2 linked regions of the Drosophila melanogaster genome follow. The protein of the gene in region 2 purifies or fractionates together with the protein of the main gene of each other region. This does not show direct contact. Each region holds a gene or a part of one and is shown on either strand. Other genes may lie near its edges.

Region 1 (5,084 bases), on a different chromosome or scaffold from region 2:
CGTTGCTGCTCCAGCACGTTGTGCGATAAGGCTAAACAATCACTTCTGGCCTGCTGAGGATGCGGGGGACAGGCGATAACCAGGAGCACCTCTCCTGGCTTGTTACTACCGCAGCATAAGCTTGCGAGGCACAGAAGCCCAAACAGCACACATATCCTAGTAGGCATAACTAATATCTATTGCGGAACTCTAAGAGTTCCGAACGCATTTCCTGATATTTTACAAACACCTGCCCTTTTCCTACCGGAAATCGGAACACGTCTGTCCCAATGAACGTGCGATGTCGTACTGAGGCAGCTGTGATTTAATTTTGGCGCAAAGCCGAAATGTTTTGTGTCCTGTGGTGTCAAAAGTGGGATTCGGGATTTAACGTGCGTAGTCCAACGCGCAGGCGCCTCTATGAAGCGGTGTTTATGAATGAATCACAAGGAGCGTGCAACAGTTGGTCACCTGTTTAGGTATCTTTTTGACATCCAAACTAGTTTAAGGCACATATAAAAGTAGCTCCACTGAGCTGCGAAAACGCTATACGATTTGAACTATATGATGTTATTCATGAAATAATTAAAACATTCTCAGACATTTAACACTTTAATTAGATTCGATAATGTGGTTCAATGATACAATGTTGAATCGACTAGTTTTCCATTTAAGAAAAACTTTTATTTGGAATTAGAACGTAGTTCACAATACGTGCACTACATATGCGTACAAGTAGGGGGAATAAAAAAGCAATACTATTAGTGCATAGGCGAGGCCAGTCGCGTAGTTGTCTGCATGCTGTTGCTGCGGTTGTTCGACTTGAGCCGCAGCTCGTTGACGAGCTTAAAGAGCTGGTCCTGCTTGGATAGCAGTTCGCGGGTTCGCTGGCAGCCATGCTGAGGAGCGCACAGACCAGGATTCCAGCGACAGTATAGGCCCTTCCACAAGCGGACCGATCTCACGCTGGCAATCGGACGCAGCACTAGCTCGGCGCCGTGCGTGAACGAGGGAAAGAGTGGATTCAAATACTGGTCCAGCGACGAGTTGATGTGCGTCCACAGGGATGTTGTCTTGTGCTTGAGATCTACAATAAATGTGAAAATTACTTCCAAGCCCATGCAAACAGCAATCAGTCTAACCTTCGGCCACACGCTCGGCCTCCGTGTTGCAGAGGAAGGTGCCGAAGCGGCACGAGTACAGATGATCCACGATGGTTATCAGGAAGTGCTCGTTGAACTCAAATGCGTTGTTGAACTGCTGGCTAACCTGCCAGACGCTATCGATAAATTGCAGGAACACCGGAGATCTGTCTGCATCCGAGTGCTTGTTGTCGCCGTGACCAATGCGTTGTTGGAACTTGTGGCCAAAGGAGAGCCACTCCTTCTCAATGAGAACCTCGAAACCGCGCACTGTGCGATAGTGCGGATCGAGCAGCAACATGGAAAGAGCAGTCAGCTGGGCTGTGCGATCCCAGCCGTCGGAGCAGTGAACTACGACGGAGGTGCTCATGGTCTCCACCTTGTCAACAATCCTAACGGCGCCGGCCAGGATGCACCTAATGTGCTTTAGCCACAGTGTGTTGTCAATAGCCGTCTGCCACTTTGAGTCGTCGGTGGTGGGGAAGCAAGCCTCCTTCACTTTGCGTAGGCTCTCCCGCATCACGTGGATGTTGTGTATGTCGAGGAAGTTGATTTCCACGTTCTTGTACGCGTCCTCTGACTCGTAGCCGCCGCCCTTGGCCTTGTTAGCAATCGCATTGGCGCTTGGTCGCGCATCCATGATGGTCAACTTGTCTGACTGGGCGTTCGCCTCCATGATAAAGCTTAGGTATGCTTCATCGTCGGAATTTCGCTTGCCACTTACACCCACCAGCGGCTGGGAACACCTTGTAATGGTCGCTTGAGTCCGTGGGTTCATCCAGGACAAAACCGGCAGGCGGCAGCGCGATCGGAACTGTGCCACGCGCCTCAGGAAATCATCGGAGGCCGCTTTGGGCACAGCCCACACGGCCGGATAGCTGTCGCAAATTGCGTAGGACTCGTTTAGCTTGGTCGCCCGCCACATATCGTTGGGAACGCCCAAGCGGCGCAGCTCCGCCAGCGGTTCATATACCGCCCAGCCGTCCCAGCCTCCGTTACCGTTCACAGAGTTGGCCGCGGCGTGGGCGAATGCAAAGAGGCGCCCACTGTACGAGAGCGGAAAGGCGTTGGCCTGCAGTTTCTCAAACACCGTCCTCCGCGAATGATTCTGCTGCTTGTGGGCGAATCGCAGGTTTCGCATGTCCTTGCAGAAAATCTCGATGCCGTACGAGTTCTCACCGCGAGACGTGGCACCTCCAATCTTCTCCACACGCGCGATCACGCCCAGAGGCACGTCGACGACGACGGGCGGCTCCTGATCCCGCAGGGGAAGCGACCGGAAGTACAGACGGTAGTTGGTTATGGTAAGAGCGCCGAAGACGGGGCCGCGGTACGGACACACGTAGGTCACGTCGTTCTTCTGGTCCTGGTCCTCTTCGCCCTCCAGATAGCCGAAGGGCGTGTCCCGCAGAATGCCGTTTTCTCCGCCACCGTGCTTGGAGCCCAGCGAACTGGACTTGGAGCTGCTGTCCAGAGAGTTGCTGCTGGCAGTCTTGGAGGCCAACTTGTCGGCCAGGCTCGCGGAGGGATCCATTTTCGGATGGACACGAGTGGTGTTTGGCTATTGTGTTGCTGGTTGCAGCTGTGTTTTCTTTTCCAATTGTTAGCTAAATGCAATTCACCAAAACTCATGCAGCAGTGCTGCCAACTCACGCAATATAAAATCATCTGGAATAATTTCCCATTCCTCCGACAAAAGTACCAAAGGGACATTATGTAGTGGCGGAAAATTTGATTTTTATGTATTGGAATTAATCAACTTATTTCAGACATTTAACTGGTAATCAAGGAAAGCTAGAACAATTCCGCTTTTAAAAAAATCTCTAACATATGTATTTAATGCTTAATAAATTAAGTGTTAGAAGTGGCGTCTTCTTTAAGTTTACAGCGCATTGATTGTGTGACAGAAAACATCGGACCATGTCCTGGGATTATAAACTCGCACAGTTGTGCCATTTTACTGCGCTCCTCGCGCTGCACCTTCTCGTTTTCGCTTCCAGCGTCCATCCAAATGTTCTCATCGTCGATGTCCTCGCGACGCTCGAAGAGATCTCCGGTGATACCGACCCGTCCACCCAGCTGGGAATTTTCCACAAGAACTGAAACGCAGCTGAGGGTGTGTCCTGGCGACCGCCTCACTACCACCTCGGCATTCGAATCTAGGGCCAGTTGCTCGTCTGGATTACCACTACCAAGGTGGTCCATGTAGAGGTCGTGATGTGAGGCACATGCGCCGACCAAATGCATTCGTGCCTTCTGAAACAGATAGTTGCAACCGATGTGGTCAGAGTGTCCGTGAGAGCAGACCACCACGTGGATGTCATCGACGCCTAGTCCCTGCTGGCCCAACAACGAACGCAGGTGATCTCCATCCCAGGCCGTCAGTGTGTCCACGATTATGTTGGTGCCATCCCGGCAGCGGACCAGTGTGCATGTGCAGTTAGCCCGCATGGCGGACTCGTCTCCTTCTTCTTGGCGAGAATAGCCGACCTGGAGCACGGTCACCTGGTTTCGTTGCGCAGGATCAGTGTATGCCATTGTTTAGTTGTTTAACAACGATAACGCTCTAGCCTATTAAATTATTTAGGGTCAGCTGCTTATCAGCTGTTGCTTACAAACAGAAATGTCAACTCGTCAACAACCTGTTGAAAACTAGAGTTGCCACTATGAAACTTTTGACGAAATAAACAAATTACTTACGAATTAAGTAATTACTTATCTAACTTGTATACCGCTAATCACAGTTCAGAAATTATTTTAAGTTTTTTTTTACACATTGATTCCATTATTGGTTTCAGTATAATGGAAATTAGGATTTCATGGCAACACCGACACCAGCTGATCGCCAAAAATTCACTCACATGTTTATACGGCGTAATTTTGTTATTATTCAACGATTTCTGAATAAGCGTGAGATAAAGTGGCATGTATCTGAACCACCTGCCGCGGACACAATGGAAGTACCTACAATACCTTCTGCGAGTGCGTCAGCTTCAGCTCCTGCGACGGCACGTTAACATTGGCGCAAAGCCGCCCATCCAAACAGCTGCCTTGCTGCCGGCATTGGGCCAAAAACTGAGGAAGCACTCGCAGCTGGTGAACGGAGATCTCCAAGACAAGTTTGGCGTGCCACGGGAACAGGATGCTCTTCTAACCCGACTGGAGGAGGCCAAGACGGGTAACCAGATTTTAGATGTGTTGGAGAGCTGTGACGGCCTGCAGAGCTCCCATGTGGTGATGGGAATCTCACTGCTGTGGAACATCTATCACGACGCGGAGCAGGCAAGTAAAGATGCCATCACGGATCGCGTGCTGCTTAACGTGCTCCCAAAGTTGGCCCCTTATGTACACCAACTGGAGATCGATGATCTCAGTAGATGCTACCTGTACCTGCGCAAAATGCATATACCAAACTCCGAGGCAGTCGTGGAGGCCGTGCTGACGAGATCTCTTCAATTAATCGAGTCACAAGTTGATGACGAAGTCATTCCCTTGACCTCCTTGTCTCGCCTCTCGGTGGGCATCAACTTGGAACGCGACTTCTTCACTCCGCTTGTGTGTAGGAACTTTATTCCGCACCTGGAACATCACATCAATTGGTGTCGCAGCGCAGAGCAGGTTCGCCTTCTGTCCACGTGCCTCTTTCAGCTACACTTTCTCATTGATGAGGAGCTGTTTACGCGCTTCAAGTTGCGCTTGACTGAAATGATGCAAAGCGGCGTCCTCAGCAGCGAAACCCCTAAGGCTCTTCTGAAGGTGATCCACATGCTGAATATTCCAGTGTGGTCGCAGACCCACACCCAATTGATTCGGGAGGTCATGCTGGTCTTGCGACCTTGCATACACCAGATGGAGTCTGCAGATCTAAAGAGCATTTGTCGCACATTTTTGCATCATCAAGAACCCGCCGCACTGATAGAGCCGCTCAAGAAAGCCCTTGAAAAGTTACTACAGGAAGAAGGC
Region 2 (4,968 bases):
TCAAGGTGCTGGAGGAGCACTTGTCCGTCGTAGAGAAACGACTCAAGGACGAGAATAGCGAGTTACGGCAGTACTACATCGAAAAACTGGAGAAGCAGAAGGAGGACTATGTGGAGCAGATTTCCAGCCTGCGACAAGATCATGAGGATGAGGTGCGCAAGCTGCGTCAATCCCACGAGCTGGACCTCGAGGGTATTCGTCAGGCTAAAATGGTGGAGTTGTCGGCGGTGCAGGATCATGGAAATTATCTGGACACATTGCGTCTGGCGTCCAGCAATCTTCAAGAACTTCGTGACGGGATGAGTGACAACCAGGAAAGGGAACGGCAGTTGGAGGCGCGAGAACGTCGCCTGGCCGACCAGGAAAGGCGTCTAAAGATGGACGAGGAGACGGCCGACGATGAGAAGCGCCGCCTGATGGAACTGGTGAGCACCTTGGAGCTGCAGCTGGGCCGTTTGTCCAAGGAGTCAGCCGAAGAGAACTGGCAGCTCCGTCAACGAATGTCCAGCTTGGAAGCGGAGCGCAAGGCTTTCGAGCGCGAAAAAGAATTCCATCGCGAGCAAATGCAGCGGGACGAGAAGCGTGTGGAGGATCTTAAAGCACTGCAGCTTGCGGAAATGGAACGACTGCACCACGATCTCCAGGAGGAGCGCAATCAACTGACAGTGGAACGCCAGCAGATTGAACTAAGACAACAGCTCAATGAGCACGGCGACCCAGACAGAGATCGCCGGGAACTGGAGGCCCAACTGCAGGTGGCACGCGAAGCCATTCGGCGGGCGGATGAGGAGCGGGATCGCTACCACAAGCTGCAGCGCGAAATGGAGCAGCGCAAGCGCCATCTTCTGGATAAGGAGCACGCCCTAAATCTCAAGGAGGACGAACTGGGCCAAGCCACCGGCGCCTACCGCCTAGCCACTAGTCGCCAACACTTGGCCGAGCAGAAGGCTAGGGAGGCGGACCAGCTGCTCCAGGCCAAGCTTAAGGTCATGGCCAAGCGGGCCCAGGAAATCGCGGAAAAGGAGGCACAGCTGGCCCACGAACGAATGCTGGTGGCGCAGGATCGTATGGCTTTGGTCAATCTGAAGAAGCAGATTTCTCGCAGCAGGTGTGCAATCTGCAAAATGGGTGCGGAATCGGCGGAAATCGCCCAGCGAAGGGCAAATGTAAATCCCACAGCAGCCACCGATCTTCAACTGCCTCAAGTGACACCCAGTCATGCGGAGCTGCTGCTTAAAATGTCCCAGGAACCGGGACAGGTCCAGAGTGACATTGTGGATCGAATGCTGGACGAAAACATCGAAGCCTCCTACCGCAGGATGTACAATGCGCCCCCCAGTAGTTCAATCGATGATCCCGACTATCTATTGACGTTAGCTGGTGGGCTGGACGACGACTCCAAGGTGGCCATGGATCACGGCCTGAATGTGGACGAAGCATTTATGTAGATATTGTGGAAAAATTTGTGGAAGCACAAATAATAACAACTGAGATAAATAAATGTATTACTTGGCAATTAGTATAAGTTTTATAAACAAACTATGAAGATACAAGATTACATATCGCTCGAAAGTTAAGTATTTTGTTATTCGTTAGAAACTCAATAAATTTGAATTGATGGAGTGAAACCCGGCTACATGATTAGCCAATACTCAAACATCTGTTCGATGTATCTTTCATCGATAGTTGCCAAACAATATCGATTCGTTTACCATCGCTACTGCTTGTTGCATTCCGTTTTGTGTTATTTCGTGCTGTTCGTGTTTAAAGTTCTTGCGCACAAGATAATTGTTTTTTTTTTATTGTAAATTAACTGATTTGTACATAATATGTGATGGTGCAAGAAAATCTAAGAAAATAACGTTTTGTTCAGTATTTTGGTGTTGCGTCTATTCCGTTTTTTGTCACTGTTTTCTGTTCGTGTTTGTGTATGGTCGTTTCGCATGTATGTGTGTAGGTGTTTAGGTGTGTAGGAGGATAAAACAACTCTCCTAAAAACAAAAAAAAAACCTTTGGTTAAGTTTAAATTAATTGTGATTCGTCAAATATAACAACAACCGAGGATAAAAGTGTAAAACTATTAACCGGATGGTCTATGTTCGTAGCCCCGTCAAGGGAAAACCTCAACCAAAAAGAGACTAGCAACGGGTGTAAAAAGCAGCGGAGGTGACACCTCAAAAAGCAAGTAAGTTGGCAATATGCGGATGAGAATCACAAAGCAGAAGTCAAGTCTGCATATTAATGACTATCTCCATTATTATTTTCTTTCGCCCTTCCACCGATATTCGTTTTTTTTAAATTTTATTCTTACGTTCTCCGGAATAAATTGGCATTCAATTGGGTTCATTTATTGTTTATGAATATTGTTTTTAAAAATTTTTTCGCAATCTATTGATTTACCTTAACCTTTGCCGCACGGAACCCTCTCTTTTGCTCTCTCTTCCTCGCTTCCTATTCCTAGCCGGTTCGCATTTTCTTATCTTCCATTCCGTCCCCGTTCGCGACACGGACTCACACACACACTAGTGCTTTTGTGGGTGTGTTTATATTAAACAGCTGTTTCCTATCTGCATACGAGATTGGCTTCAATGGGGAAAAAATCAAAACGCTTACATGCTGACATATATATATACGTTTATATTGCATATATTCGTATATATGTGTAAAATCTGGGAAATCAGTACTCGCAGCATTCATTCACGCAAATTGATGCCGCCGCTTTTGTTTGTTTTTATATATTTATTTACAATCGCGCACTCAATTGCGCCTTTTTGCGCCACTCTGCTGTATCGCAATCGCAAATTTGGAGCGCTTGGATATGGTTTCTATGTGCAAAGTACACAAGTATTTACCACATTTGTATGTACAAACAATAAGATAAAATGTTTTGCTGATGTTTGTACCGAATGTCGAAACTCTGCTAATCATACTTAATATCATGCTTGCATAATGATGTTCGAACTTTTCTATTAGAAGTTGATATTTTTTAAAATATAAAATTAATTCCTGTCCCTGCCCTGGCTATCACAAATCCTTGTAATTACGTTTTAAATGCAGTTGTCATATCCTTTTAACCATTTCGAAGCTTACAAATCTAATAAAGCGATCAATCTGTTCTCCCCTATTTTCTGAATTTCTGAATCATTGGTGCCCGCTAATGACGGCTCATTATCGATCGCGAATATTCCTTTGCAACTTAAAAAAAAAAAACTAGTGATAGGCACCCCCACTCTGTCGCAAGTGGTCTTCCCCCCATCGAATGCTATCTCACCTGTTCTTCGTCCAGGTACTCATATAGTACCATTGCCATTTACACTGCATAATCACTTTTATCACCGCCTGTTCGTTATCGCAGAGATAAGCAATCCCAAAAGCAAACACCTTTGTTCAACAACAAATAGGCATTGGAAGAGAAAATACGAAAATAATTTTAACAAAATTTGGAAATCGCTCACATTTTGTTCTGGTTCCCATTCGCAGCTCAACGGACCGGACGCTTTAGACGAGGGGATAATGTCAAATCAAGCGCATATCGACTACGACAAACAATTCCAGGATGACCTGGCCAAGGCGACCGCCCTGAGTCTAGAGCAGCATGCCCTCGATGACTACAGGCGAAACAAGAAGTACGGCTCCGGGTATCAGCAAAGCTCCACCGTTGCTGGCCGAGATTACCAGGCGGCGCAACGTAGTCAGAGCCTACATCAACCACGACGGCACTCGGAGGTGCATCAGGTGGCCATCAGTCCGGAGAATGCGGAACGATCGCGCACACCGCCGGCCCAGGGAACGGATAACGATCTGATCTGCTTCGCAAGTCCCACCAGCAAGCAGCCAGAGAGTAGCAGTCCCTTTGGCAAACTTATAGAGGATCTGCAGCGGATGCAGCCGACCAATCCGCAGTCGGCCCTGGTGCCAATGGGTCCAGTTGCGTCGGCTTCGATTCCTCCTCAATACGGCTTTCCACCTCATCAGCAACGTCCAACGGCTGCTCAGCCCACACCGTACGGCATGGTTGCAGGTGGAGTTGTTGGTGGACCGGCTTACGGTGACCTGCAGTTGGTGCCTTACCAACCAGCTGCTCAGCAACAGAGGCCACTAAACAGCGAGGAGCTGCAGCGGCTGTACAGCATGCCCGCTCAAATGGCCGTGGTTCCAGTGCCGCAGCCAAACGCCTATATGTACTATCCCGGAGCTGTGGTTACTCCATACACGGCTCCCATTGTTCCCGGATCGGCTGCTTTTATGCCGCCGCAGTATCCCGCACAGGGATATGGCTTTGGAGGTGCTTACACGCACATGGATTTGCGTCGACCCCAATCGCAACCAGCTCCCCAACAAACAGCACCGACAACAAGTCATCATCACAGCCAACCGTCCAACCATTCCACTTCCTCCCCCGCAGAGGCCAATGGAGTAGCCTTCCCAGCGCGTCGCCAAGTGCCCTCGACTGTCGGGGTTAGCTCTAGTAGCCACACTGGAAACAATGGTCATTCCTCGGTCCCACGCAGGGGCAACGATTTGATCGACCTCAACCACGAGGACTAGTATGTATCCACTAGTGTTCAGAAATGATTAGTTCGTGTTTTTAACATTCAAACATCCTGCTTTGCAGCTCCCGTGTGAGTGTGCTGGAGGCATTCGATCCCCTGCTAAACGACAATACTGGTAAGCAGCCTCAATGTTGTAATTAACGTGTAGCTCCCGGTCCTCGTTGAAATCCCCCCACATTTTTCGCACCGTAAACTAAACTTGAAATACAGTCGAAAACTCGTGTGTTGCGATTTTTGGCCAGAGCATTCATTTGAGCTGCAAATAAAAATTATTGGCATAATAACATTAGTGGATTTTTCAACTCAATCTCTAGGAGAGAGGAATATTAAATTGAATAGGAACAAGCACACGATTTTGTATTTGTATGGTATTTACTAATAGGTTTTATTAATTTTATATTTATCCCATTATTTG

Evidence for each region.
Region 1: the proteins of Pi3K68D (region 2) and mtm purify together in Drosophila melanogaster (affinity purification with western blotting, with the first as the bait; one study listed by BioGRID). This does not show direct contact.

The regions. Positions count from the first base shown.
Region 1 is NT_033779.5:6,034,157-6,039,240, forward strand, and holds mtm (myotubularin), read right to left. Parts: upstream 2,860-5,084; 5' UTR 2,656-2,859; coding exon 1,122-2,655; intron 1,067-1,121; coding exon 741-1,066; 3' UTR 575-740; downstream 1-574. Other genes in the region: CG9109 (uncharacterized protein), read right to left, coding at 1-167; CG9117 (uncharacterized protein), read right to left, coding at 2,973-3,659; CG31643 (uncharacterized protein), read left to right, coding at 4,047-5,084.
Region 2 is NT_037436.4:11,786,758-11,791,725, reverse strand, and holds the start of Pi3K68D (phosphatidylinositol 3-kinase 68D), read left to right. Parts: upstream 1-1,712; 5' UTR 1,713-1,804; exon of another isoform or gene 1,805-2,105; 5' UTR 2,106-2,185; intron 2,186-3,480; 5' UTR 3,481-3,513; coding exon 3,514-4,547; intron 4,548-4,615; coding exon 4,616-4,668; intron 4,669-4,968. Other genes in the region: twy (twitchy), read left to right, coding at 1-1,448.